Notamacropus eugenii: one gene and its partners. Each later gene encodes a partner of the first gene's protein in a complex. Links are inferred from orthologs where the notes say so. Each region holds a gene or a part of one and is shown on either strand. Other genes may lie near its edges. The genes, in order: SNRPD1, LSM7, BUD13 and USP39.

Region 1 (7,510 bases):
AAAAGATCTGTGTTCAGTTTGGTGAACCAATGTTGAAAAAGGATGTTGATAATCTAGGGAGTCTGCAGAGGAGAGCCATCAGGATTGTGAAAGACTTTGAGTCCAAATCATTTGAGAATAAGTTGAAGAAACCAATAGAAAGACAGAGGAGCATGGTAGTTGTTTTCAAGTACTCAAAGGACCGTCAAGTGGAGGAAGAGGCCCCAGAGGGCAAAATAAAGAATAGTGGGTAAAGCAAATTCAAGCTTGACTCTGGGGAAAATAGACAAACAAACAACTAGGTATGTCCAGGTGGAGTGGGCTGCTTGAAGTGCTGCCTGACAACCTCCCTTTTTGGAGAGTGTCAGGCAGAGACTAGACTAGATGTCATTATTTGTCAGGTATGATGCAGTCTGGATTTTGTTTGTCCAGATTGAACTGGGTGGCTGTTGAGATTCCTTCCATGTCTCAAATTCTGTCATCCCCTCCAACAGCCCTGATCCATTAGCTCTCCTCTAAGTTCATCCTGTGTGACTCAGGTAGACCAGAGTTCTATTTCTGCCTCAGTCACTTAACGGGCTTATAGAACTCAGCAAATTACTTAATCTCTCAGCCTCAGTTTCCTCATCTGTAAAATGAAGATAGCAGCTACTTCAAAAGACTGTTGTGAGATTCAAGCATTTTGCAAAACTTTAAGTACTATATCAATATTAGTTACTACTATTATGTAAAACTAGAAAATATCAATAAAAATTTAAAAAAGACAAAATGTTGCTTTTAGTGAATGGAGGTTGACCCAGATGTCATAAAATAAATCATTACTTCTAAATTAAAATACATGTTTTGCATATTATAGGGGACATTTTAAAATTTCTTTGGCTAAAATTTCAAACACAGGGTCTACTGCTTTTCAAAAGCCAAGTATTTTGGTTGCTCTAATCTCTGTTTACATAGATAATATAATGGCATATCCAGGTTTTTATCTGTACTTGTTTTATCTTCTCATCACATTACATTTTGGGTTTTATGGAATGATTGTCCATAATTCCAACAGAGGAATATAGGATAAGGTAACCCAACTTATAGTTAATATTTGTCTTTGGGGAACTGGAATTTATTTTCATTATAAAGTAGAAAAATTAAAATTTGGTTTTCCTGTCCTAACTTTTAAAAATACATATTCTATAATCATTCAGAATATTCCATTAATTTTTCCTTGAATGTATTAATTCCCTTGTTTCATGAGTTGTGTTGGTTGGATACCTGTAACAAATTTTTTGGAAGACAAGGTGTTTCACAGATAATACAGAGAAAGACACGGGAGTTTTCGGTCTCTAACAGGTTCACTCTTAATCTGGTCAGACAGGCAGACAACTTTGGAGGGATTAATAATCAGCTTTATTCTAGTCTAGTCTTCTCAAATGATTGTTGGGAGAACCAGCTCCCACAGCATTCCTTAATCACCCTTCTCAAAGGGAGTGGTGGGGGCAACTACCCCTAGTCTCAGCGGGGTCAATTGAGACAGGGATAGCTTGTTCACTCTCTTAAATCCCCTCAAGCCTCAATGGGGGCTGGTTGAGGCAAGTACATGTATTCCTTATGTATGTATGTGGTTTTCCACTCATTGCCCACTGCCCACTTGCTTCATAAAGCACTAGACAAAGAAGGCATCTTTCCAACATTAAGCTCACAGGTTAACTTTAGCAAAACTGTTATTCTGCACAAATGTAGTAAATGTCACATTATGTTACCCCTTATCTCCTGGAGCAGCCTCGGTAGGCCTCTCTGTCACTATGATTCTGAGAATTAATATCCTTGGGGTTATTCTGGGATTTATTTTCTAACACCTGGAAATTAGACATTCCCATGGCCATGGATCCTGAGAAACTAAACTAAAAAAAGATAACAAAATCCTCCTTCCATATACATGGACAAGAGCCACACAGGATAAGCCAAAATGAATGATTTCCATCTCTGTCATTAGGAGGAATACTCTCATCAATAAGGCTTCTATTCATTTGAATTCAATCCATTTTCATAGTATTCTAATGTAAAATGATTATCTTAGTAAGTTCCCAGCATTCTTTTGTACATGGGGTTATATTCCACCCTATTAATTTATTCACTTCCACTATGCAGTGGGACTATATTTAGTCCTGTTATTTTTACATTTCTTACTGCTGATCAGCAAAGCATGTGCTGTACATAATCAAGGTTTTATATGCCTCTTAGATCCTAGGATACAGTTGAAAGGGACCTTAGAGATCATCTAGTCCAAACCCATCATTTTATAGGTTCTGTCCTTTTATGATGCAGACATTTTGGTGACTGAAAGGAGCAGAAAAGGGACAATTGTGTATGAGCACTGATAAAAATCAGCTTGAGAGGAAATGCAGCCCATCAGATAAAAGTACTAGGGGAGAAACAGAGACTTTTCTAAGAGGACCAGATAGAACAGTCTCTCTTATGCTGAAGCTGGGGATGGCTAGAACTCATTGCTATCCATCAGCTTATTTACATATGACAATTTTCAGTATTTTGAAGGAAACAGGTGAGAAGTTATAAGAGCAGCTTGTGAACTCTGGGAAAATCTTCAGTTTGTGCCATATCGATAGAATTGTGGATTTTGTTTTTTTTTTCAACCTGAATCAGAGATGGGGCACTACTCATGAAGAGCGCCTGATTAAAAGTCAGAAGTAACCAGAGAAAAAGCAGGAGAAGGGGACAGAAGACTTAGAAAATGACAAGGGAAGCAGCTCAAAGAAGATATAAGGAAATAACAAGCACTGAAACTAGCTAAAAGACATGCTTTGTAGTTGACGCAGGGAACTATTTGATTGGAAGAGAATGCTATAGCTATTGCAAACTGACTGAAGAAAGGCAGAATCCTCTTATGTAAAGAAGCGTTCTGGGTTTATTGCCTTTTACCAACACTCCTAGCCTGAGAGGGGAAACCTCTCATATTGTTACTGTTCTCTACCGTTTTAGACGGGGAAACCCTAAATCCTACAAGGAGAACAGACCTCATTAGTACAGCTATTTACATACTTAAGGGAACTGTGTTTCAGGAAAGAATGTAATATATGTTGCTAAAAAGAGCATCATACTTTTTCACCATCCTTCCATGAGTGACAACTCACTAAAAGAGCTTCCTTTAAGTCCCAACTAAAAATCCTTCTTTGGGAAGTCTTTCCCAACTCCGCTTAATCCCGATTCCTTCCGCCTTTTACTTATTTTCTATCTACGTAGCTTGTTTGTATATAGTTATGTATCATTTTCCCAAATTAGATTGGGAGTTCCTTGAGAGAATGCCTTTCTTTGCATCCCCCGTGTTTAGCACAGTGTCTAGTGCATAGTAAGAACTTCATATATGCTTGACTCACTAATATGCTGAATTTTTCTTCCTTTTAGCTTTTGCTCCGTTTGCTGTGTCTAGAATGTTCCCTTTCTTTGCTTGCTGAATGCCTGACTATCCTTTAATGGCTTGCTCCAATGCCACTCTTTCCACAGTCTTACCTGATCCTCTTCCCTTCTCACCACATCCCCATTACAACTTTTATCCACCTACTTTAACAACCGCCCCTTCTTTACACCTTGGGGCACTGTTTTGCCACTCTGTGCATTACCTATCCCCCCACTCTCTATGCTTGCCTACATCTTCCCAGGGAACAAATGAAACTTCATTAATTCAGACCCCACTGCAGTAGATTTGTGTAGTTAGACAAAAAGCACCGCTTTCTGGGTAAAACTTCTGAATTAAGTGGCTTATCTTCCCCTGCCCACCCAAGGTGCCACAGTTATAAATGGAGATAGATAGCTTCATTCCCTAAAACACAACCCCATACATTTGCTTTTTTCAAAATTCAGCTCTTCATGAAATCTTTTGATTGATTTCACTTTTGCCTTTATTCCCAGTGCCTAGCAGTAACTGTTACTTAATGAATGCTTGATGGATTTAATTTTAATATATTGCAAACACAGACTTGTTACGAATTACATTTTTTCAATAACTAATATCTACTCTTTTCACTTGTTTCAGTCCTTTTCAGTTATGTCCTAACTCTTGGTGACCCCACTTGGGGTCTTCTTGGCAGAGATCCTGGAGAGGTTTGCCATTTCCTTCTCCAGCTCATTTTACAGATGAGGGAACTGAGGCAGACAGGGTGAAGGGACGTGCCCAGGGTCACTCAGCAAGATGATCCTTCCTGACGTCAGCCCAGCACTATCCACTCTGCTACCACGTACACACATGTAAGTATGGGCACAGATCCATCAGGCACAGTTCGGAAATTCCAATAAATGGGATTCCTTCTTTAAGATCAATTACAGAAAGCACTTGTTTTTGCTCAACTTATCCAAACTTTGGCTTTGTGCATCCCGGGCAAGACGGGAGTATGACCGATAACCTGAGGTTTTTACTAAAGAGGAGAGAGACATTGCTTTCCCCCAAGACCAACAGTGAACATCCCGGCCGAGCTCTTGCGGACATTTGCACCGTCGCCCTCCAGGGGGAGCCGCAGCAACAACATGCTCCTGGAAAGTACCCGCTCCCCCCGCCTCAGAGCCGTCTCGAGTTTTCCTCCAGTCGGGTTTTCTACTTCCGGTTCTCTTGGTGGAAGTGCTTCCGGCCATTCATTCCCTCAGCCCCTGTTAGCGCCCTGGGGTCGTGATTTTGCGACCTGTAAGACCGAAAAGTCGACGGCTCCGTGAAGGATGAAGCTCGTGAGGTGAGGAGACGGCGAGAGCGCCGGCCGCCGCAGTAGGGTCGGGTTTGGAGGTTTGTCGCCAGACGCCGTGCGGCCAGTCAGAATAGGCGCCAAAGTGGCGTGTGCACGCGAGATAGGCCGGGACAACGGCGGCCCTTCCCCGCCCTCGGCCCGCTCTCCCGCCCGCGCGGCGCCTCGCGCTGCGGCTCGTGCCCCGAAAACGACCGCCCTGGGCGGGGCGAGGCTTCCCTCCTCGCGACCGGCGTTGTGCGGCCGTTGTCCGACGGGGACTCGTGGGCCTGGCCGTTAGCTTCTAGGCTCTCGCGAGACGCCGCGGCGCGGGTCCTGGGCCCCGGGCCCCGGGCCCCCGGCCCCCGGCCCCCTGCCCTCGCTTCTGGGGCCCTTTGGTCTGGGCCTTTCTTAACCCTGTTCCAAAACCGTCTGACCGCTTTCACGTGGTGGAACCGTAGGGTTAGAGCTCGAAAGGACTTAAAAGACAGGGGGCCCCCTCGCCTTGCCATTTTACGCTTGAGAAAAGTGAGACCTATGAATGCCAAGTGGCGTCCGGCTCCTCCGGCGCTAGGCCCAGTATTGCGCCTTCCGCTTGGACCCCGGGGGCAGGGCCTGGGAATTCGGGGGCGCGGCAGCGGGCAGGAAGAAGCACCTGAGAAACGGACGGGGGACCCCCTGGGTGGCTTGGCCTTTGTGTTTTCTATCGGCTAAAGCCCGAAAGCCGAGGCGGGGTCTGACTACTAAAAACGTCAGTTCCTTCAACTGGGGCCTTTACGGAACTTTACAAAATGCCTGGGCCCTGCGGTCCATTATTTGGAAACCCATTATACCATTAGATGTCCTCTCCTTCCATCTTTGGCTGTTTCTACCCAATTCAGCATTTCCCACAGCCCACAACTCCTTAGAATCGGATAAACTTAAAGGATTAAACTTTACATCAGATGGTTCCAGTTAAAGTTTGAAGGAGTCATTGAAGCCAGCTTATTACTCTGAGCCAGCCGTAGTATTCGAAGCACACACGGAGAGTCGGGGTGTACCAGGTTTCCAGATCCCAACTCTGCACTGTTGGGAACTATAAAGTGCTACGACAGGTTTTATATTTAGCCAGTTTCTCCTTGTCTTCTAGCATTAGAGCACAGTAATTGCCTCTCAGCTGCATTTAAAATGATTGCTACATTTCCTTAAGATAAAGGTATGATTCAGACTAAAGCACTTAACTCTGAACCCACTCAGATGTAGAGTAGACTAAGGGGAATTTTCTTTCAGCTTTAGAACTCCAATCTTGCTTGCCCCTCGGAAATATAGAGGATGCTTTTGTCTAAGATATCTTTTAAAAGGAAGAAGACAGGGTTCAATTCAGGGAATTGTGCAGTAGGGGAACTTCATTCAAGAGAGTAACTGAATAAAATCAATCTGAAAAAATATCATACAAAAATTTCTATATTTGCCAACCCTGGAAGTGGTATGTATAAGTTCTCTGTGTCTAGAGAAATGGGACTAAGAATCAGAATTTGAAGTTTTGGAATGTAACTTTTGTATAACTACCCAGACTCACTCAGATAACCAGATGTGGCATTTGTAGACCTCTTTTGCAAGATGACTGTGCTTAACATTGCCCTTTCTGCTTACTTCAAGCTTTTCATCAGTCAATAAACAATCATTTATTAAGTGCGTTTTACTAGGCGTACAAGGCAAAAAAAAATCCCAAGCAGACCCTGCCTTCAAGGAGCTTATACTATACTGGTAGAAACCAATATGTATCCAGACAAAAATGATGAAACTGCCCTTGCAGTAAAAGGGACAATGGCACTCTACTTGTATTTAAAGAATTTAGGTGCCAGTTTATTGCACTGCCACCTCTGTCTGCATGCTATTGGCCAACTCACTTAAGCTCTGTGAGCATCCATTCATTCATCTGCAAAACACAGAAGGTGGACTAGATTTCCTTTAATGTTCTTTACAGTTCTAGATGTATAGTTTTTTTAATCAGATATGTGAAATTTAGTGTTACATGGAATATTCAAATGGATCTTTAATTGGGTTAGATGTTCCCTTAGTCTCTGCAGATTACAACCACCATTCCTTGTTGGTACTGTATACCTTTTGTCAATGTCATTCCATAAATTTGACGGTGTCTAACCATTATACTAGAGATCTGTAATGATGGGGTACAGATTCTGGGAACCCCCTTGAATCTTCCCACTTAATCTTTTTTTCATGCCCAAATCTGTTACTCTTAATCTAGCCTAGGTCCTCCATTGTCTGTTGCCTCCCCATTGCCTGCTGTTTCCCACCCTTGATCACATCAAAATCCCACCCTCTTGGTTCTGACCTCTTGTCACCTCAGTCTCAGCAAGATCCTCCTTACATTCTTCCTCACGACCCTCCCTAAACCCCTCCTCCCATCACCCCAGACTACTAGACCACCCCCAGATCCCTTCTACAGTCTTTCTGTAATTAAGATTCTTGTCTCCTTGAAAGTGCTGACATTCATTCTAGCTCAGATTCTGTCTGGCCTGCTTGCGTGTCACAAATCTTGAGGATTCTTAAGAGTCAACCCAACATGGTGAATCTTTAATAAACTTTGTTTTACTTTGGCTGAAAGAAGGCTTAGGTGAAATTCATTCAACCAGGATCTAGGATGTTGGCATTTTGGGGTCCCAAGCACCTCTAACCTTAACATTATGGTTCTTTGACCTCAATATTACTAAATTTCTCCTGACTTAAAAAAGGTGTTGGAACACTTTGAGCGGGGGTGGAGAACTTGTGTCCTCCTGGCTAATTGTGGCCCTCTAGATCCTCAAGTGCAGCCC
Region 2 (7,085 bases), about 180 Mb from region 1:
AAACAAAACTCTCAAAAACACGCATTCCAAAACACAGTCTAACAGGACATGCTTTGTTTTATACCTGACTTGTAATTTCATTGTTCTAGGGAACTCCTGATGCAGGTTAGGGGCACTGAGAAGTTAAACGATTTGCCCTGGTCACAGAGGCTGGTATTGAGCCTAGGTCATCCCAGTTCCGAGGCCAGCTTCACATCCATGAAGCCAACACCCTCTTTTATCTTGCTCATAGACTTAGGGATTTGTTTTACTGTTTATATTTTCAAGCCTTGGTGTGGTGGGAGGGACGTGGGGTCTGGAGCCAGAAGACCAGAGTCCAGCTCCAATTTTGCTACTAACAACCTGAGTAACTTTGAGTCATAGACTCTCTCTGGGTCTCTGATCTCTTCATCAGTGAAATGAAGAGAGATGACCTCCTAGGTTCTTTCCAGGAGGTCTCTATCTAGGATCCTACTGAGTATTCCTTAGGGGAAAAGGACCCAATCTTAACTCAGACACATTATCTACCCCAGCACCCCGAAAGACAGGGATCCACACATAGTGCTGGAGTATCAGGGAAGATTACAGGACACCCTTAAATCAAGGTTTATTGAAGGACTATCTATTACAAGATATTGGACATTATTTATGCTTGCATTACAAACTGCAAACCCTGCCCTGCCACTGCTACAGAACTACAGAGACTACTAAACATACCTACTGTGTGTTTATTGTTTATTATTATTTATTTTTTAAATTAAATTATTTATTATTAATTGTTTGTTAATGTTTATTGAATGACAATTACCTATTATGATTATGTGTCTTATCTAAATATTGCAGGTCGAGCAGCAGGTAGTCAAGGTATGCTCCATGACTGTCATGACTTACACTTATGTCTCTTCCCTCTATGTGGGGGGGAGCTCCATAAAGAGAGAGTCTGTGTAAATTTGTGCAAAGGTGTACACACACACAAGCACGCACGCACGCACACAGCAGGTGCCTCATCAATGTTTGTTGAGTATCATGCTATTTTTTTATATTTCTATTCCTGGGGCACAACACTGACTTTGCACATTCTTTTCCACATGGAAACTGCCTCCCTTGCTATTAACTGACAACAACTCACCTATAATAACTTACAGAAGAGGTTCTTCACCTATGGTCTGTGAACTTTAAAAAAAGAAATTCTTTGATAATTTGTTTCAATGGAATTGGTTCCCTTTATAATCCCATGTTGTTTAATTTTGTGCATTTAAAAATATGATTCTGATTGAAGCAGACCATTTTCTTTTGTATTATGTTTTGTTTTATGGTTTCTCCCATTCATTTTAATTCTCCTATGCAACATGACTAAGGTGAAAATGTATTTAATAGGAATGTATGTGTAGAACCTATATAAGAGTGTCTGCTGTCTCAGGGAGAAGTGGGGAGGGAGGGGGGAAGGAGCAGGAAGGAAGAGGGAAAGAGCCAGAGGAAGGGGAAAAAAAATCTAAGCTATATGGAAGTGATTGTAGAACACTGAAAACAAAATAATTTAATAAAAAAATAAAATAAAATATTATTCTGAGGAATCTGTAGGCTTCACCAAACTACTAGTCACCCAACTTGGAAAGTGACCTGGGGTACAGAAGTTAAGTGATTTACTCCTGCATGGTCAAAAAGCCAGTCTGTATCAAGGCTGGAAATTAGGATTCTCTCTGGGTCACTGAGCTGGCACTCTCCCAGATAGAGTGTGGATCTGTGATCTCACCAACACCAGGACGGAATGTCAGCAAAAATCTCATTTTCCAGGAGGCCTTTCCTGATCTCCCCTTATGTTAATGCCTTCCCTCTACTGAAAATCTCCAGTGTATCCTGGACAAAGTCTGTCTGCCCGGTTCTTTTCACATTATCTCCCCCACTGGACGGTGAGACACCTGAGAGCAGAGGCTTCTTTGCTTTTGTCAGCTCAGGGCCTGACTTACCGATGACAGTATCTGTACAGCACAAGTATCTCCCTGAATCTCCGTTTTACAGCAGAAAAGGCGGATTTGCTCAGTGGCCCTGCTGCTAAGTATCTGCGCTCGGAGTCCCATCTTCCAGACTTCGGGGTCCACTGCTCTACCTACCTACCGCACGACCTAGCGCACAGCATACCGTAGGTGCTTAATAAGTGCTCGTTGTCCGACTGACTTCCAGAATGCAGATCAACAACTCCTAGTCTCAGAAAGCTGACGAGCACCGAAAGGTAGTGACCTGTCTGCAAGTGTCTAGCAGGCCTTCCTGACTCCTAGGCCGAGGGCGGCCTCTCTACCCGGTACACAGTTGGCACCTGTGCCCTGGATTGACTCTGCCTTCCAGGCTCTTGGCCCGCCCAGACGATGAGCACGCTCCCTGGGGGCAGGGACCCAGAAGGCGCGGACCTACCAGAGCCCCGGAGAGAAATGAATGGAGAGCGCTCCAGAAGCCAGGGAGGTCCCACCGGAATGTACCACCTGCCGAGGCAGGCGGGGGGGGGGGGGTGTGAGGGGAGGACGGAGACCCTGGGTCAGACCATGTGACGGGAACGACGGGGGGGCGGGGTCCTTCTTACCCTCTCGGCCTCCCTGGAACTTCACGCGGATGGTCTTGTCGATGTACTTGGAGAGGTCCAAGATGCTCTCCTTCTTCTTCTTCTCCTTGTCCTGCAGAGAAAGCACAGCGGATCAGGGGCCCGGGCCTCCGAGCGCCGGGTCCGTCAGTCCGTCCCCCTCCCGCCCCAGCGGCGGCAGCGGCTGCAGCGTATCCCCCCCTCGGCTCACCGCCATGTTGCAGCCGTCAGGGTCCCCTTTGCGTCCGGCGCCTGCGCCCTTTCACCTCTTGGCGCAAGCTTCGGCGTTAACGTCAGGGACGCGCTTGCGCAGATGGGGCAGGAGCCTAGGGTTGGAGGCGGAGCCCGGAGGTTGCTGGGTAACGCCTGGCAGCGCTGTGGCGGCGGCCGCGGCAGCGTCGTCGGCTCGCCGCCATCTTGCTTTCGTCACAATCCGCCTCGTGAGTCGCGCCCCGGCCTTTCACCCTGCACCCGGGCCCTGCGGAAGTGTGACGCGCGTGCGCAGGCGCACGCGGCCGCGGAGCGGCGCTGAGGCACGAGGGGGCTAAGAAGCGGGGCCCAGGGCTTGCTGGGTAACGTCCGGCAGCTGAGGCTGCGGGGAAGGGAGGCCGGAGCCGTGGGGCCCTGGGGATCTCGGGCGAACATGGCGGTACTGGTGCGGCTGCTGCCGGGACTTCTCCTCATAGCGCAGGTGAGGGGGAGGGGGAGGCCTGGCTCCTTCTTCCTCCGGCTCCCCTCAGCGGCCCGGGCCGCCTAGTAGGCCCTAGCCCGGCCTCGCTGCACCGCGGCCCGGTATGCCCCACGTCTCTAACTCCCCCAGGTTAGGCCGGCGAACCCCATCCTCCTTTGCCCCGCGAGGCCGCCTCGTCTTACCCTGGAGGAACTTGAGCCCCAGACCTCCCATAAGCTTTAGGAGCGGCGGGTCCTCCGAGCCCCTCTTTCCGGCTGGTGTCTTTTACTCACTTTTTTCTCACAGATGAGGAAACTGAGTCAGCGCCGGCCAACAGGTCCGCTTCCCAGCATGCCTTGCTCCTTCCTCCCTCTTGGTCGTTCCTTGAGTCCCTACCCATCTTTTTAAACTCATCGCTTCTTATAAACGTGAAGCACACTTAGCCCAGTAAGACTTGTGGGACACTCTGTGTCCCTCAGCTAAACCCAAATTAATTTTACATAAAACTAACAAACTCGTCCCTCCCAAATTCACCCCTGGACCTCTCAGCACTTTGGGCCTCTCCGTTGAAGTGCTGTGTTATCCTCCTCACTGCGCCGTGTTTATCGTGTGGTATTTGAACTTTACACCTTGCACACTGTAGTATCCTGGTCAGGGGTCACACTTCTGTCCTTCCCCTTTTACAAGTGAAAAGCAGACTTAGGGTCAGGCACCGTCAGTAAGCATCTATTAAATAAGTCCCTGCTGCATCCCAGAGCGATCTGAAGCGAGACACTGACTCACGTAAATGACTCCCTTAAAGGCACACAGTACGTCAGGGCCAGCATGTGAAGGTAAGTCTCCTGTCCTCCAAGTCCAGTAATGTTGTCCCTACGTTTAGACCTCTTTCCAAAAGCTCATAATCCCACCCCAGAGCCCTGCTAGGCTGAAGCTCCCTGAATCAGTAATACCCACATGTTAATAATACGCTTATTTATACTTAAAGGTTTTATGATTTATGCAGTTTATAAAGTACTTTGTTATCTAATTTGCTCTGTGAGGGATATCATACAAATATACCTGTTTTATAGAAAGGTTAACTTTTTATGGTTATGGAATGGAAAACTTCCATTTTTTTCCCCTGGCAAAATTAAGGGGTTAAACGACATGTTCTCTTCCCACTCATAAGTCCTTTGGGGATTTATACAGTGATTGCCTGGCACCCAGTTATTGACTGTCCTTTGTGGTTCATTCTTCTAAATTAAAGTGAGTTAAAATTCACTCTTGTTTGGAGGAAAGAATTTACCATATGCAGTAGAAACAGGATGTAATTTATAGTGGGGTTTGAACCTTGGGCAAGTCATTTCACTTCTCTTGGCCTCAGTTTTTTTTGTTGTTGTTTTCTTTTTTTAAACTGTCAGTGTGAGGGCATTGAACTAAATGGCCTATGAATCGATAATCCTGTGGACATTTTGGTGACACCTGAATGACATGGTTTCACAAAACCGTGGCTGGGAATCACTGCTCACTGAACTATTGTTTCAACTTCCAGATTCTGCTAGTAATCTAGACTTGAATTCCCTCTGGAACTGTGGTGGTCACTGAGTGCCTTTGTACTGGTGATTTGCTTTACCAGGGTGAGAAATACTCTTCTCTAAAATTCACTAAAAGGTTATGGGTAAATCATCTCACATCACACTTTTCCAAAGTCAGAAGACCTTGGCAAAGTTGCACCTTTAGCCTCATGTGTATTTTGTGTTTATCTACAATATTCCATTAAATCTTTTTTTCTTTTACTGAGACAGTGTGGTTTAGTGCAGAGAATACTAGACTTTGAGTTGGTAGACATGGTTTCAATCCTGACTGATGGTTTACTAGTTGAATTATCTACCATGGGAAAGCTACTAAATGTCTCTGAGTAATGATTCTGATCATCTTTCAGACTGATAGACTTGCAGTTGGATGGGCAATCTTTAGAGCTCATTTATCTATATGAATAGTGCTGTACTGATAAATGTTTAACAACTGGCTCTCCAGAAAAAATGTACCCATGACACACACTTGAGTTTAATATTAGTTATCAGTATTTTCATTACTTTCTTAAATCTAGACAATCAACAAAGAAATCAAATTATGATTTTATAACCTCTTCTGATTTGTGAGCTGTAAAAATGCTTATATTGAAAATGTAACCGTCAACTCATGCATAGGTTTGATCTGGATCCAGCATACCTCTAAGGAGTACACAGATCTGAGATAAGATGTTGCAGATAGATGAGTCTGGCTAAGAACTGAACTGGAGGAATAGAGCAGGCAGCATTGCCTTTGGGTGATTGTGCAGGTTGTTTTATTTTGTTATTTTTTTTAACAATCTCCCCCCAGGATGAAGGCCTATTTTGTTTTTAATGTCAGTATTCTTGCAGTGATGAAAAATGTTGCTAGTCATGCAGTAGTGTGTAGCCTCTGAAGAACTGAGGTCAGAAATCGTGCAAGGAGCGATGGAGACTGTGTAATTCATCACAAGTTATGCAAGAGAAGTGGTGTGAAGGACATCATCACTGAAAATCAGATCTCAGACCACGTTGTAAAGTGCAATAGACTTACAAGCCATTTGGTAGTTTAGTTAGATAGTTTAATTAAACTAAGACCAAGAAGCAGTTGAACACAGCCCAGTTAACCAAAATACAAACCACTTTAGGAAAGAGCTCACATTTAACAAGACCTGCTGGGAACATTGGAAAGCAATTCAGCAGAAATTAAATTTAGATCAACCTCTTATACTACATGCCACAATAAGCTCCAAATTGTTTAAGAAAAAAAAACCTAAAAAGAGGAGAATGAAAGGGGAGATACCTTTCAAATCTGTAGTTAGAAAAGACTCTTAACACATAACCAAGAAATAGTGGCGATCTTGAAAGATAAAAATAGTCACTTTGAGTCATAAAATTAAAAAAACTTTGCACAAGCAAAATCAGTGTAAAAAATGAAGCTATTTGTAGACACTCAATTGGGGGAAAATCTTTATACTATCTCTGATAAAAGTCTGACCTTTAAGATATATGTGATCAAAAACCATTCCCTAATAAAGTGGTAAAAAGGTATAAACAGTTTTTTAAAAGAAATGCAAGTACTATAAGGTACTCTAAATCAGGGCTTCTTAAACTTTTTCCGCTGCAGACCACTTTTCGAAATGTTCTTGGCTCTTCGTGGGCTTGAAGGCATGTGAAGTACAAAGTTCGTATGTCGTGTTCAGAACCAAGGCTGCAATGAAGTTGTACCATGCACCCATGGGCAAGCAAAGCCAGAAACACCTTGGAGTCATTACATTTTTGATCTTTTAATTTATTTTTGATTCTTATGTGTTCAGAAATCTTTTACGGTTGCCAATTTTTTCACAATTAAAGAAGCACTACTCTAAATTACTAAATTGGGGGTTGGACCAGAGACATCCCGGATGAAACCCTGTGCCATGCAAGTAAGCAAACAACTTCTGTTTGACTTAAAGAGTCTTAGAGAGTGACCTAGAGGACCAAGAAGCTAACTGACTTGGCCAAGCTTTCATTGCCTGCTGTGTGTGACAAAGGGAGGACTTAAGGGTGTTTGTAATTCTGAGACCCAGCTCTTTATCCACTACCTACAGTGGCTCTCAATCCTTAATATGAAAAAAAAATGCAAATTAAAACAGCTATAAGGTTTCACCCACCAAATTGGCAAATTTCATTTTTAAAATGGTAATAGTAACTGAAGGGGTTATGGAAAAACAAATACATTATTAATACAGTACCTCTGGTGAATCTGCGAATTAGTCCCTCTCATCAAGAAAACAGATTTGGAACTGTGTGAAAAACAGTCAAACCCTTTGTTGACCTCTGGGCAACAATCATC
Region 3 (7,882 bases), on another chromosome or scaffold:
GCTAAGTACTGGGTCCTCTCACCCTTCTTAAGTGTATTTTGGGTCTCTGTTCCTCCTTTTCTACCTGGTAACATGTCACAGACTCACAGATATGTGTTGGAAGAGACCTTACAGTGCTAGTGTAACCATATTGTAATTAGCAAGATTTGTCTGTAACAATGATAAGCTTTTCTTGGAGATGTCAGTAAAGTAGAACCTGGTACTTTAAAAAAATATTTTTTGTTCGTTGTTATTGGCACGATGCTAATCTTTTTATAGAATAACTTGATCTTCACTCTAATATGTAGCCCTCAGGAAATAGGAAACTGCTCCATATAAGAAAGCTACAATGCAGGAATGAGTTGATATTAGGGAGGGGAACTTAACTGCACCTTTTTCTCTGCCAAAGAAATTGTAATAACTAGCAATATGGGCCTAAGAATACCATGACCCAGAAAGGAGAACCTTCCAGGACCTAAAATCACTACAACATACCTGTAGAGTTTTCCTTTTAACTTTAAAAATATGGAGCAGGAAAAAACCAGGAAGAATTTTAGTACCTGCAAGTGGTCTCCATTTATCCACCTTGCACATCAGTATATTATGCAAATCAGCCTTCTGAAAACACTTTACCTCAGAAGAATAATTCTTTGGCTTTTAAGTCTTACATAATTATTGCTTCTACTGTACATCCTGTCACTGGACTTTGGAATTCTATTGCTACCTCTCTGCAATCCAGAACAAGGTTCTCTCCTCATCTTGTGAAACTCCATCATAGGACATAAAACTCATAATCCAAGTTTTTTCTTAGACTAATTTATATATTTTTAATTAGGTGCATCTGTTAACATACCAGAAGAGTTTTTCCTAAGTAACATTATGCAGCAAAAGATCTGATTGGTTAAAAGTAATAAGCATTAACAGGTACACAACAAATCAACCTAGTTAGACTAGGTGTGAGCTTGAAATGATCTACAGGTAACCAACCTTCCTTCATAGCTGCAGTCTCTGCAAGGAGGAATAAAAGATGACATGATGGTTTTAAAAACTTGGTAATTCATCATGTACAAGTTAGATTGTAAACAGTTTTTTGGACACAAGTGGAAAAAAAGTTTTCAGTATGAAATCCACAACAATTTCCATAAATGTATGCTAACATACAGAGGGGCTGATGGGATACATAGCCTGACTGCTGTGTTTTCTTTCTTCCAAGGTTCTTTGCAGTTCTAAGTCTATGAGATCATTATTCTTGGAACCAAATAGTCCAAGTTCTTCTATTTCTTCATATGGCATGATCTTTAAACACTTCACCATTCCAGCTGGCCTTTTTATGCACTTCTCACCAGTTTATCCATGTCCTTCATAAATTGTGTCTAGAACTGAACATTGTATTCCAAAAGTGTTTTGACCAGGTTAGAATAGGGTGGGATGCTCACTTCCCTCGTCCTAAGTGGTATGCTCTTAATGTGCCCTGGACACATTAGCGTTTCACTTGCCATATAATGTTGAATCATATTGAACTAAAAATCTTCAAATTATTTTCAATTCAACTTTTAATTCAGTTGAATTGCCATGCAGATTATCTAACTGAATCCCCTCATTTTACAGACAGGTCCTCCCATAGGAACCAAAAGCCTTTCCTTGAGCCTTTTCATCCATTCAGCTACCCTCCTTTCTCCCTATCACTAATCACATTTGAAATGGGTGCCTCTACTTCATGGCACCATCTGCTTGCTCTTGTACACTTAGTTAATTTGTCTTCTTGCAGCACTATTCTACCGAATAGGTTCTACCTAAGCCTTTTTCTCCTAAAAGTCACTGAAGAGCTCTTTATCAATAAATTCCATGGATTTTTCCATTTCCATAGTTCCATCTCTGGGCAGATACCTCCCAGATTTATTTATATCCACTTTTAGTCTCTAAGCCACTGAGTTTCAGTCCCTGATACCAAAGGCCAGTTAGATATTTCAAACTGGATGTTCCAGAGACTAACATGTCTAAAACTAAACTTGGTTTTTTCATTGCAAACTTTCTCTCTTGCAAACTTGGCTATTTCTGTCAAGGAAACCTCCATTCTTTCAGTGTCTTGGATTGAAATCTTGACATTTGTCCTGAACTTTCTTACATATCACATATCCAATCAGTTGCCAAATCGTGCCATTCTATATTCATATCTTTTCTTTCTGACCTCTCCAGTCACAGAGCTGCCACCTTTGTTCGGGCCTTTATCACCTTGCAGTTAGATTACTGTAACAGCTCCTTATTAATCTCTCTGCTTCAAGTGTCTCCCCACTCCTACATGCTGCTACCAAAATAGTTTTCCTTAAATGTAGATCTGACCATGATTCCCCTACTCAACCAACTTCAATGTCTTCCTAGTGCCTCAAGGATAAAAAGATAAACTCTGTTTAGCTTTCAAAGACCTTCACTTCCTGGCTCTAACCTGTCTTTCCAGCCTACTTAGGCATTTCTCTCCATCCTGCACTTTGTGAAACAGCCAAACTGACCTTCTCTCTGTTCCTGACACATGACACTCTAACTCCGTTTTGCATGCCTTTGTCTTGGTCATCCCAAAGTAGTCTACCTTCCTTTATGATGCTGTTCAGGCACCATCTTCAAATGAAGTATTTCCGCATTCCTCTCATTGCTAGTGCCCTCCTTCCTAAAGTACTTTACATTCCACTATTTTGTATATATTTGTATTTATTTACTATGTATTTTGATATGGAATTGTCTTCTCCATTAGAATCTAAGTTCATTATGAGTAGGATCTGTTTCACTCTTTGTACTTGCATCCCCAGTGCCTAATACAGTAAGGGCTTAATAAATACTTGTGGATTGACCAATTTCTCATTCTCCTTGACCTGTTTGCCACCTTTTATACTGTTGACCAATCACTTCTACTGTATGCTTTATTGGTTTTAGAGCCTACATTTCTAAGCTGTTCTTGGTCTTTTTCATTGGCTACTAACCTCAGGAGCTAGTGTTGGAGCTGAGCTCAAATCCTACTCAAACACTTTATTAGCTGTGTAACCCCAGACAAGTCACTTAATCTCTCAGCTCTTTCCTCTTGACAATGACAGAATGATGACCATAACAGCACCTATCTCCAACTGTGTAAAGATATTTGTAGAGTTTTGTAAACCCTAACATGCTATGTAACACTACTTACGATATTGATGATGATGCCCTTTACCCCTTATTATGGGGGTTCCCCAAGGGTCTCTTCTCATCTTCACATTTTTTCCATTGGCAATCTCATTTACTGCCAGGGCTTCAACCATGTCATAGTCATCATCCCTGCAATTGATTTTAAAAGATTAATTTTGAAAAATTAGGAATTTAAACACCAAATAAAATAGGCTATGCACATAGCAGAATAGAAAAGAGGACTGTAAATGAAACGATCTCTATTATGTAAAATTAAATAATATAATAGATTGAATATGCAATTTCAAAGCTGCCTTGTCTGATTTTTTTCTTGTTTTCCTACTGTTCTCTTCTGTGCATTTAAAAATTCTAGTGACTCTTTTTCTTTTTTGATGGGCTATCTTGTCCCTGGCTCCTCCTCTGCCCTCCCCCAAACTGAAAAAATAAAAAATAAAAAAACAAAGGCTTTGTAACAGATTTGCGCAGCCGGTTTAAAACAAGTTCCCATATTAGTCATATCCAAAAAAGTCTTTTCCTACAACTTGAGTTCATTATCTCAGGAAATGGGCAGTATGCTTTATCACATCAGTCCTCCAAAATTATAGTTGGTCATCGCATTAAATAGCATCCTTACGTCTTTCAAAGTTGCTTTTCTTCACAACATTATGTATATTGTTCCCCAGGTTCCGCTGGCTTTACTGTGCACCACTTCAAGAAGTCTTCTGTTTCTCTGAAACCATCCCTTTTGTCGTTTCTTCTGGCACAATATTCCATTCTGTTTTCATATCATAATTTGTTCAGTCGTTCCTCAATCGGTGGGCAGCCCTGGTGTCCACTTCTTTGCCACAACCAAGAGCTGCTATGAATGTTCTTGTGTATAGAGGAGCTATGTGGAATATGGGCCTAGTAGTGCCAAGGACGCGTGTAGTGTAGTGACTTTGGGGGCATCATCTGGGGACAAACTGCTTTCCAGTAGAGTTTCTGACCAATTCACAGCTCCCCCATGGCACATGGAGGGTGCTGGCTTTCCCACGGCCCTTCCAAAAACTGCCATGGCACTAACTCGATGACTTGTGATGTAGAGGCCTTTCTTGGTCTGATGGTTGCTAGCTTAGATGTGCGCCCACAGGCTTTGCCTGCTTGTCCTCGTTCGTGTAACTGGGTCAGTTCCTTCGACAGGGCACGTACGCTCGATGCCCACCTGGCACCGCAGACTCATCATGTCTGACTCCCGATATGTGCTCTCTGGCTCATGACGGGCAGGGCTACCCACGCCGGGGAAGGAGAGCGGAGGACTCCCGTGCAGGCTGAAGCACACTTTGTTCGTTTCGTTTGTTTATTTTGGGGGCAACATGATGCTGCGTGACTTCACACGTAAGACGGGCAGACGGGGGCAGAGGCGAGAGGGGGGGCAGAATTCGGAACTCCAAAACAAAGCTGTAATAGAGGGAAAGGCGTTACCACGGACCCAGTCCCGCCCACGTGGCGTGGGGCAGCCGTCCTTCTCCCTCCACTGCCCCGGTTTCATTCCCCTACGTCTCTCTTCCCACGGCCCCCCCCCCCCCCCTTGTATTCCTCCCCGCCCCGCTCCCCGCCCCGCTCCCCCAAACCCCGGGCCGCTGCTTTGCTGGGGCCGTTGTGGCCCCGCCCGCTTCCCCGGGCTGAGCAAGAGCAGGAGCGGGGCCACGCCCACAGCCAGGGACCAATCAGATGCTCCCCTCGCTCTGTCTGCGCTGCCCGGGAGTCCTAGCTCCACCCCCTGCAGGCCCGCCGGGAACGTTTGGCGTTGCGGTTAAGTTTGTGTCCCGCGCCGCGCCGTAGCTCGGTTCCGGTTCTCCTCCGCTTCCTCCGCTGCCATGGCGGCTGCCCCGCCGCTCTCCAAGGCTGAGTATCTGAAGCGTTACTTGTCGGGGCCCGAGGCAGCTGCCGATGCGGGGTCGGAGCCTAGTCGTAAGCGCCGCAAGAAACGGCCGAAGCCGACGGGTGCCGGAGGGAAAGGGTGAGCCAAGGGGGAGTGTGTGTGTGAGTGTGTGTGTTTGTGTGTCCGTGTGTGTCCGTGTGTGTGTGTGTCCGTGTGTGTGTGTGTCCGTGTGTGTGTGTCCGCGTGTCCGCGTGTCCGTGTGTCCGCGGGCCGAGCCGCTCAGCCCCGGCCTCCTCCGCCCCAGAGCGCCCGCACTGCCTCCTGGGCGGCACGGGGTGCCCGGCTCCGCGCCCAGCGCCGGGGGGGCCCCAGCCCGAGCCGCCGGGCACAGCCGGGCCGAGCCGGGAGCGCCCTCCTGGAACTCGAGCTCCGAGCTGCCGCGAGGAGACTGGCGAGGCGCGGGCGGAGCGCCGGGGGCACTGCGAGGGGCAGCGCCCGGGTGTCAGGAATACGGAGACAGGAAAGGGGGGCTCGGGTCGTGACTTTCCCGGAGCTTTATGGAGGGCTGGGGTGGGGGCCGCGTGTCAGACGGCGCCCTGCACAGAAAGAAGGTGAAGGCGGGGGTGTCCCCAGGGGAAGCCGGGCAGCCTCGGGGAGATCACTGACAGCCCAAGGGAGGATGGCCGGGAGTGGGAAGGACACGGGGCCTGTCAGCGGTGCCAGAAAGCAGAGAGGTTGTGAAGGTAGAAGGGGCAGCGGGGGGCACAGTGGGTAGAGTGCCAGGCCTCGAGGCAGGAAGACTCACCTTCCTGAATTCAGATCCGGCCCCAGAGTCTTCCTAGCCCAGTGACCCCGGGCAAGTCCCTTAACCCTGTTTGCCTCAGTTTCCTCATCTGTACAATGAGCTGGAGAAGGAACTGGCAAACCTCTCCACTATCTTTGCCAAGAAAACCCCGAATGGGGTCCTGAAGAGTCAGACAAGACTGAAAGGATGGAACTACAGGAGCAGCTGTAAAGGTAGAGACGAGACTTGGTACCGGATTGGATGTGCAGGTGGTGAGAAAGCACTTTGAGCCTGGGTGCCTGGGAGGGTGCTGGTGCTCTCTGTGGAAACTGGAAAGTTAGGCAAGCACCAGTGACCCTAGGCTGTGGCCTTCCTCCTGCCCTGGCTCCTTGGTCCCCCCCATCACAACTGTGCTCTCTCCTGGCGCTGAAGGCTGTGACTGTCTCTTTGTCATTCCTTTCATCTGACTGTCTTTTTCCCATGAGCTTAGGCTCTGGCCTTATGTAGATGGCCCTCTTTCCCACCTTGTCCCCTCTCTTCTCCAAGCCCACAGTTCTCCCTATTTACTCCCCTCTGTACCCTCTTCCTTCCTGACACCCATGTGCCCCATTCAAATCAACCCAGCTTCTGGGCCAGATCAGTTTCCTCTCTGTTGACCATGTTGCCCTCTCTTAGTCACCAAATTCAGTTCCTTGTCTCTCCCTTTGTATCTCCTCAGTGACCTGAGCCCTGGATACACTCCTTTTCTCTCATTCCCTCCCAGACCTTGAGGAGTGAACTGGGAGGATCCAACCTGAAGTTTGGGATGAAATGCTTCAGAAGTTAAAGGGCAGGGGGTGTTTGGGGGGTGGGCCTGGGGAGAAGAGTACCAAGGGGGCCAGTGAAAAACACGGCAGTGGAATTAGGCCCAGAGGTAGGATTTCAGGCTGGGAATCCAAACTTTTGGGCTTTGAAGTAGGAGATAGCCCACTGGTTGTGGTTGGGGATTTGTGTTCCATCCTGTTCCCAGTCTCTTTCAGAGTAACTTTTCAAAGTTAACTTTTCCTAAATTCTTCAGTCTTAGAGATGTTGGCTTTGCAGGAAAAGGGCAAACTAAATGGGGCTTCTCTCTGTCTGCTCATGCCTCTCTCTGACTTATTTCTGAGCAACTGTTTGGGTCTCCTAGAATGTTGTTGGTTCTCATCTTGAAAATAGTTCTTTTTTCTGACTATTTTCTGTAGGATGAGGATTGTGGATGATGATGTGAGCTGGGCAAATATTTCTACTAAGTTAGAAAAAGAAGAAGAGGAAGAGGAGGGAGATTTGCCTGTGGTAAGTTTGGGAGTAATACGCGCTTAGGAACTTGTGTTTGCTTCAAGCAGATTCCTTTCATTTGGTTATAAGATCACAGAATTTAGAGCTTAGAAAGAACTTTGGAGATTGTCTTGTCTAACCTCATTTTATAGACGAGACAATATCGGTTCAGAGAAATTGATCGACTTCCCCAAGGTCAGGCATTAAGTGGACCCCAACTCTTAATGCTATGGGTGAATGGAAAGTGGTGGGAACAGAGAAGCAATGATGCTTTGCTTAAAATTGTAACAAAATGTTAATTAATAGTTGTGCTATACTCATTTCATTAGGAGCATCATCCTCCTAATAGTGAGGAAGCAATCACACAGAGGGAGTGACTTTCCAAGTGTGTGTTTTTGCTCAGCCAAAACTGTATTTAGTTTATGTTTGCAATTCTCCACTGAAAAATGTAAGAAAACATGCATAACAACTCTAAAGAAACTTTTGCTCTCCTCTTACCACTTAATAGCTTGATGCCTCTGTTCATTCATTCATTCATTCATTCATTCATCAAGCAAGTAAACAAGCCGGCAGACATTTATTAAAGGCTCCCTATGTGCCAGGTACCAGGCTAGGTTCTGGGCATACAAAGACAGAAAGGAAACTGTTCCTTCCTGCCTTTAAGGAGCTTAAGTATTGTGATTGGGGGAGAGCATTTTTGGGGGTAACAAGCAACACTAATACAAATAAATAGATACATAGTAAATATAAATAATTTCCATTGGGAATAACATTAACAGTTGAGAGGATCAGCAGAAGCCTCTTCCGGAAGGTGA
Region 4 (7,159 bases), on another chromosome or scaffold:
GCAATCCATACATATTCTCTCACCTTGCAAAAGCCCTGTTCCATACTTATGATATCCTCTTTTGACAGATGAAGAAACTAAGGCCCAGAGGTATTGATATAGTCAATAATTGTTAGAGCAAATGCCAGGCTTTGATTTAAAACCAGGTCCTGGCTTATGGTTGAGAAAATAGTTTCTTCACCGGTCAATAAGGAAGCTGCCTGGTAGGGAAGAATGCACCGGTTTTGAGGTCAGAGGTCTTGGGTTCAAATCATGCTCATGAGTTGTGTGGCCTTGGACAAGTCACCCTTCTTTGGCCTGCTTTCTTATTTATATGTAAAATAAGCAGGCTTTCTAGTAGATCTGAGGTCTTTTCCATTTCTAGATCTAGGATCCTATTAAATTATGGTAATAATAATAAACATTAATAGCCCTTTTGAAGTGCACCATTATCTCATTTTATCCTCACAACAACTCTGGGAGGTAAGAGCTGTTTTTATCCCATTTTACAGATGAGCAAACTAAGGCTAAGTGACTTGCTCAGGGTCACACACCTGGTAAGTGTGGAAGGCAGGATTCAAATTCCAGTCTTCCTGCCTCAGAAATCCGATGGTCTCATCCCATCATTTTACAGATGAAGAAACTGAGACCCGAAGACATTCAGTAACCTATTCAATCAAGGTCATGGAACTAGTAAATGACAGACAGAATTGGAAGCCAGGTCTTCCTGATGCCAGGTCCAATTTCCCAGCTTCTCACTCCCCAGTTGTGAAACCCTGTGAATAACTGAACCTTTTGCACCATCTGGAAAAGGAGGGGGCTGAACGTCATGGCGTCTTCCACATGTGGTGCTCAGGGCTCCCACTACCTACAGCAATTCCCCCTCCCTCTTTTTTGTAGGGTCACCCAGTTATTAAGTGACACCAGCAAGCCCTGGAGCCCAGGTCTTCCTGACTGTAGCCCAATGTTCTATCGGCTTCGAGGCCCCCAAAGATGCCAGGACCTGCCCAGCCACACACAGCTAGTTAGAGGCTCCTGGGGCGTAGACCCCTCTCGCTAACTCTCTCACCCCGGCTCCCAGTGGAGGACCCAGGCCGGCTCAGCCTTGCCTCGCCTCGCCGTCTGGGTAAGTACACCTGCTGGTCTGGCTTTCGGGGCCTCGTAGGGCCCGGGGTGAGTCGCCTCCGAACCTTCTCCTTGGCTGCCTGCTTCATCTTCTTGTCGTAATTATCTCTGCGGGTGGGACGGAGAGGGATTATGGGGAGAGGTCAGGGATCAGAGCGACCCCAATGAAGGAGGCCTCTGGGGAGGGGGTGGGGGGTTAGGGGTTAGGAGAAGGAGAGGCAGAGACTAGAGGGCTGGATCTAGGAGTAGGGGATGGGGAAGGGGCCTGAGGGCAGAGACTAGGAAGGGGTGCGGGGTTCCAGGGGAGAAGGCGAGGGACAAGGGACAGGAACCCAGGGGCTGGAAACCTGGAAGGGACCGGGGGAGAGGGGTCTAGAGTAGGACAGAAGGCAGGGACCTAGGCTTTTAAAGGTTTGGGGCAGAGGGAGGGGGTGGGGGAGGGACCAGGGGGCTTAAGTGGGGGGAACAGGGTTAGGGACCCGGAGGTAGCTGGAAGGTGGGTAGGGGGCAGGAGGAACTGGGTCAGGAGGACAGAGGGCGGGGACCCCGGTGGAGGGGGCGGGGAACGGGCCAAAAGGCTCAGACTAGTTCAGAAGGCAGGGGCCCTGGGTACAGGGGCTGGGGGGGAGGGAGGATCTGGGGCTGGGAACCGGGGGCAGCGAAGGGCGGGTGGGGGCGCGGGGAGAGCCCGAGGCAGGGTCCGGGCCCTGGCCGGGCCGCACCGGGCGATCTGGTTCCGCCGGATGTGGTGCACAAAGCCGTGGCTCATGTCCAGTCGCCCCCCCGGTTTGCAGCAGCAGCGCCGGCCCGGACCCGGCTCCGCTTCCATTGGGGCGCTCCGGGAGCTCCGGGGGGGGGAAAAAGCCAACGCCGCCCCCGCCGCCAGAGCAACCGTCACTCGCGGAGGCCTTCCCCTCCCCCGGCCCCCTGCCCGCCCGCCAGCTCCCCGACTGGCCCCGCCCCTCTCCGTCCCCATTGGCCGCTTTTCTCCCCACCTCCCCCGCGGTCCCAGGGCTGGCCCCGCCCCCGTGCGAGGCGGGGGCTAGTGCTCTCTTCCTTCGCCAGTCTCTTCTGTTTACTTTGTGTACACTTTGTAAATACTTTGTATTTACCCGCCTCTGTGTGCGTCCCTATTCTCCCCACCTAGTATAAAGGATTGAGGGAATGAAGGAATGTTATTCAGCACTTTCCACTGTGCGAAGCGAGGGAACTGCAGATGGAAGACAGACAGTTTCTGATCGCTAGCAAATCCAAGGAGTCCATCAACGAGAATTCTTCAAGTGCTCTGGGTTTGCCAGACACTCCATTAAAAGTTTGAGATAAGAAAGGCAATAAACGTCCCCTGCCCTCAAGGAGCTCTTGAGGGAGAGACAACGGGCAAACAACTATGTATGTAAGTACAGGATCTTAGGGGTCAGGCAGCTGCAGTATTGCTGACAAGGCCCAATAGAACTGTAAGTTTCTTGAGTCAGATATTGCCCTCTTCCCCCATCACCAGGGTATCCCGAGCTCCTTAACTTGACCTTTGCCCCAACCCCACTTCTGTCCTCAGCACAGACTCCTCTTTGCCAGTCTAGGGCTTGGAGATGGAAGAGAGACAGAATCTCAACATCCATTCTAACTCCCTCAATTCAATTTACCTTAACAAGGCACAACTTAAGAGACAGACACAAAGAAAACAGGCCTGCTTTCAAGGACCTTACCCACTCATTTTATAGGTGAGGAAATTAAGGCCCAGTCAATCAATTAATCAACAAACATCATCCAGTGCCTACTATATGCCAGATCATGCATGTCACCCCTATCCCCTCTCACTAAACTCCAGCAGCTTCCTATTTGCCTCCAGGAGAAAAAATGGTCTATTTGGCATTCACCTCCCCAACATCTACTCTTCCATACAGTGATGATGCCTTTCAGGCTGTTCTATGAACAATCCTCCATCTCAGTTTCCACCATTTGCTCTGACTCTCCCTTATGTATGAAAAACTTTTCCTTTCTCTGCTCTAACCTTCCTGACTTCCTTTAAGTCTCCACTAAAATCTTACATTCTACAGGAAGCTTTTCTTGACTCTTCTTGATTCCAGAGTTTTCCCTCTGTTAATTATTTCCCATTTATCATGTGTATAGCTTGCTTTGTATATATTTTTATGTTGTCTGCTTCAGTAAAAAGCTTGAGGGGAGGGGCTGTCTTTTGTCTCTTTTTATATCCCTAGTGCTTACTTAGCACAGTGCCTGGCACTTAGTAGGCATTTAAGAAATGTTCTTTGAATTGAATCAAATAATTCCTTTGGGGACTACCCAGCTTTGAAATAACTTACTGTCTAAGAGTTGGGAGTGATTTTTTCAACCCAACAAAAGTTATTTCCTATGAGTCCTCATCTCCTTTTATACAATGGTCCAAAGACCCTATGATCTTTTTTAATTGATTAAGGACTATTCATATGGGGACAGTGGATAGAGTACCCAGCCTGAAGTCAGGAAGACTCATCTTCCTGAGTTCAAATCTGGCCTCAAACGCTTACTAGCTGTGTAACCTTTGGTAAATCACTTTATCCTGTTTACCTCAGTTTCCTCATTTGTTAAATGAGCTGGAGAAGGAAATGACAGACTATTCCAGTGTCTTTGCTAAGAAAACTCCAAATGGGGTCACAAAGAGTTAGACATGACTGAAAGATGACTGAACAACCAAAATTCCTATATCTTTTACTTTTGATACGATGAAGCCTTCAGACTGTCCTGTGACTAATTTTGGTGGGGTAGGCTGGACTCCTACCCATATATATTGATCATAGCTCTAGAGATGGAAAAGACCTTGGACCTCTAGTCCAATTTTCCACATGGATAAACTGAGGCCCAGAGAAATGTGAGTGACTTGCTCCTGGTCACACAAACAGTAAATGTCAGAACCAGGATTTTAGTTAAGGGCCAAAGACTCCAAGGTCAAGGCCCAAGTCAATCACAAAGAACTGGATTGTTGTAGACACTCATTCTTTTGGTGGGAACTATGATTTCACTGGTGTAGGGAACTAACTTCTTGACAATCAGTCTTTTTTTTTTTTTTTTTTGGTTTCTGTTTTCATGTCATATGCTTAATTTTCTCATTTTCCAAATGAATACCTTTATTTGTCAATCAGTCTGTTGACTTTTTTTTCCCATACTTAAAGTACTATTTGTCATACGGGATGGCTCTCAGGGAGGGGAGGGGCTGTTAAAATAGTGATGTTAGAAAGAGAAAACATAAATCAAAATTATTTTTAAAAAATTGGGCAATGGGATGTTTTCGCTGCCTCCATCGCAGCCTTTGAGGGACAGGACAGCATCATTCCATTATGCCTCATCAACCTAAGTAAAAATTTCTCCAGTCCTATGATGTTACCCCAGCATCTTGGGCCACTTAAGGGCTATCTGGCCCTTTAAATAAGAAACTGTGGATGATGAAGATGATTGGCCCATTCAGCGTCCGGAGCGGTGGGGCGGGAACCAATGAGAGCATCCAAGAGTCACACACGGAAGCCTGGGAAGCAGGTTTGTAGATGCGGGCCACAGCGCTAGAACCCTCGAACAGACGTTGCAGCGGATTGGCCAGAAGCGCTGCGGCTGATTGGCCAGCTGTGCTGCGCAGGCGCGGCACCGCGAGTGAGACCTCTGCGCCTGCGCGGAGAGGCGGCGGGGGCCGGTGGCCGGAGGGGATGTCTAGCCGTTCGAAAAGGGAGACGCGGAGCTCCGCCCGGGGCAAGCGGGATGCGGAGTCCCGGAGCAGCTCCAGTCGGTCGAAACGGGAGAGGGAGCGGGATTCGGACGGCATGGGGTCTCGGGGGAGCCCGGTGCGCGTGAAACGGGAACGGAACTCGGAGCCCGCGGCGCGAGACTCCTCGGGCGGGAGCGTGCCCGCGCTCGTGCCCGCGCCGCCGCTAGTGGGTTCGCGCGTAAAGCGGGAGCGCGAGGCCGACGAGGACTCGGAGCCGGAGCGGGAGGTGCGAGGTGCGCGGGGCCGGGACCGGGGCGTCCCCCATCCCCATCTCCATCCCCATCTCCATCCCCATCTTGCCAGCCCGGAGCTGGAAAGAGCCTCTGAGGACGGCCATCCTTTCCCCTTTTTTGTCCAGATGGGGAAACTGAGGGCCAGCAAGTGCTTGCTCCCTGCCCGGTTCTCGGGGTGGGGAAACTGCCCTGCCCGGCTACGTCATTACCCGCTAACCACGTGCAATTTAAATCCAGAGGGATGTCAGGGAGGAGAGGAAGGTCCTGGTCAGGTGGCGCAGTCCAAAGGGGCCTCGGATAGTGTCCGCTTGAACGGAACCTTGACCAAAGTTGGGGTGACATCCTGCCCGTCTCAGCGCCGGGGCTTGGGTGCAGCCCACCCTAAGCCTTCCCTGTGTTCTCTGCCTTCAGCCACATATTCCCTCCAGGGTTCTGGCCCCCGTGCCTTCCTGTCTTTGCTAGTGATCGATTTTCGACAGTTTTACTTTTTCCTTACTTGTTTGTGTACATGGGAGAGGAGGAACGCTAGACTTGAAGTCGGGAAGCTCAGGTCCCTCTGATCCTGGCCCTGGGGGACTGTGGGCTAGTCTCTTAATGTAGGCTCTCTTAGAGAACGTATATTAGAGCTAGATGGATGTTGGGAATTTCGACGCCAAAAAAAGTTGTGTCCTGCAGCAAAATGTAAGCTCCCTCTGAGGATAAGGGACTCTTCTATTTTTGTGTGCTCAGCGTTGAATACATTGCATTGTAACTAAAGGCGTGTTAAAAAAAATTACCTTTTCTTTTGTCCTTAAAAACCATCATAGATCATAGGTCAAGCGGGGATCTCAGAGGCCTGTCCAGTTTACTCTCATTTATAGAAGGGGAAACTGAGGATCAGGGAGGTTGAGTGACTTGGAATATGATATACAGGTAGTAAACCTCATAGATAGGACTTGACTCCAGATCTTCTGATTCCAGAACCAGAGTTCTCTCCACTTTTATAGCATTATCTAATGTGATCTTTTTTTACTTTTCACTCTTAGTATTATTATCGTCACTTTAATTCAGCTCAAGCAACAAACATTTATTAAACACTTACTATGTGCCAGGCACAGTATTGTGTTCTGGGGGTCAATGACAGAAATAAAAGTCCTTGCTTTCAGGTAGCGTATATTCTTTTGAGGAGATTTAACATATAAGGAAAAAAAGTGTGTGTAAATCATTTAAAGGTTTGCAGAAAGTAGTGTACAAACGTTAATTTGTTTGACACAACAGTCCCATGACGAAACAATCAGGTGCTATTATTTCATTTTACAGATGAGGAAACTGAGGCTGAGAGGTTAAATGACCTGCCCAGGGTCACTGTTAGGGTCTGAATTAGGATTTGAACTTGGCTCCCAGGCTTGACAGGTCCCTCGTGCCACCTCGCTTCCTAGATTAGATACTCTTAAGGGTGGGGATGGATGAAGAGTACATCTATATAAGAAAGGGTGTGACGAGGGCCAAGGAAGCATTTAGATAGAATGCTATAAGAAATTTGTGGAGAGAAGACCTTCTAGTTGGGAGGATAGGGAAGTCTGTAATAAACAGAGGCCACCAGAGCTGGGCTCGTAAGAACATTTTTTCAACAGGAGAAGGTAATATGTTCTAGTTCGGATGGATCGTAAAGGAAGTAGAATGAAATAAAATTGATCAGGTTAAAGTAAGTTGGAGTAAGATTCTGGACAGCCTTATATTAGAAGCTAAGAATTGGATTTTATCCAATAGGCCCTGAGGAACCAGTAAAAAATTTTGATGGAGGCAGCATATTGTAGCTGGGGCACTGGATTTAGAGTCAGAGAGATCTGAATTCAGATCCTGGTGCAGACATACGAGCTATGTGACCCAGCACAAGTCACTGATGCACTTTGAGGCTTCACTTTCCTTATCTGTAAGATGAAGGGATTGGACCTAATTGCTTCCAAGGGTCCTTCCAGTTCTTACTGTGCCCTGTGGGTGACTTGTGCAGGAGGAAGATGGTTTAGCAGTTCTGTGGAGGATGGATGGTAGAGGTCAGAGGCCTGTGCCCTGGCCCAGTTCAAATGCCATTAGA

The links.
Region 2: SNRPD1 (region 1) and LSM7 share a complex: the UniProt entries of both Homo sapiens proteins name them as parts of the U4/U6-U5 tri-snRNP complex. The link is inferred for Notamacropus eugenii from reciprocal best matches to the Homo sapiens genes SNRPD1 and LSM7.
Region 3: SNRPD1 (region 1) and BUD13 share a complex: the UniProt entries of both Homo sapiens proteins name them as parts of the minor spliceosome. The link is inferred for Notamacropus eugenii from reciprocal best matches to the Homo sapiens genes SNRPD1 and BUD13.
Region 4: SNRPD1 (region 1) and USP39 share a complex: the UniProt entries of both Homo sapiens proteins name them as parts of the U4/U6-U5 tri-snRNP complex. The link is inferred for Notamacropus eugenii from reciprocal best matches to the Homo sapiens genes SNRPD1 and USP39.

The regions. Positions count from the first base shown.
Region 1 is NC_092875.1:245,365,431-245,372,940, forward strand, and holds the start of SNRPD1 (small nuclear ribonucleoprotein Sm D1), read left to right. Parts: upstream 1-4,495; 5' UTR 4,496-4,692; coding exon 4,693-4,706; intron 4,707-4,911; exon of another isoform or gene 4,912-5,889; intron 5,890-7,510. UniProt on the Homo sapiens protein: Plays a role in pre-mRNA splicing as a core component of the spliceosomal U1, U2, U4 and U5 small nuclear ribonucleoproteins (snRNPs), the building blocks of the spliceosome.
Region 2 is NC_092875.1:63,776,690-63,783,774, reverse strand, and holds the start of LSM7 (U6 snRNA-associated Sm-like protein LSm7), read right to left. Parts: upstream 3,017-7,085; 5' UTR 2,769-3,016; coding exon 2,763-2,768; intron 2,646-2,762; coding exon 2,555-2,645; intron 1-2,554. Other genes in the region: SPPL2B (signal peptide peptidase-like 2B), read left to right, coding at 3,195-3,242. UniProt on the Homo sapiens protein: Plays a role in pre-mRNA splicing as component of the U4/U6-U5 tri-snRNP complex that is involved in spliceosome assembly, and as component of the precatalytic spliceosome (spliceosome B complex).
Region 3 is NC_092876.1:135,379,184-135,387,065, forward strand, and holds the start of BUD13 (BUD13 homolog), read left to right. Parts: upstream 1-4,873; 5' UTR 4,874-4,985; coding exon 4,986-5,128; intron 5,129-6,994; coding exon 6,995-7,085; intron 7,086-7,882. UniProt on the Homo sapiens protein: Involved in pre-mRNA splicing as component of the activated spliceosome. As a component of the minor spliceosome, involved in the splicing of U12-type introns in pre-mRNAs.
Region 4 is NC_092872.1:726,461,841-726,468,999, reverse strand, and holds the start of USP39 (ubiquitin carboxyl-terminal hydrolase 39), read left to right. Parts: upstream 1-4,155; 5' UTR 4,156-4,637; coding exon 4,638-5,085; intron 5,086-7,159. Other genes in the region: C1H2orf68 (UPF0561 protein C2orf68 homolog), read right to left, coding at 1,049-1,212, 1,827-1,933.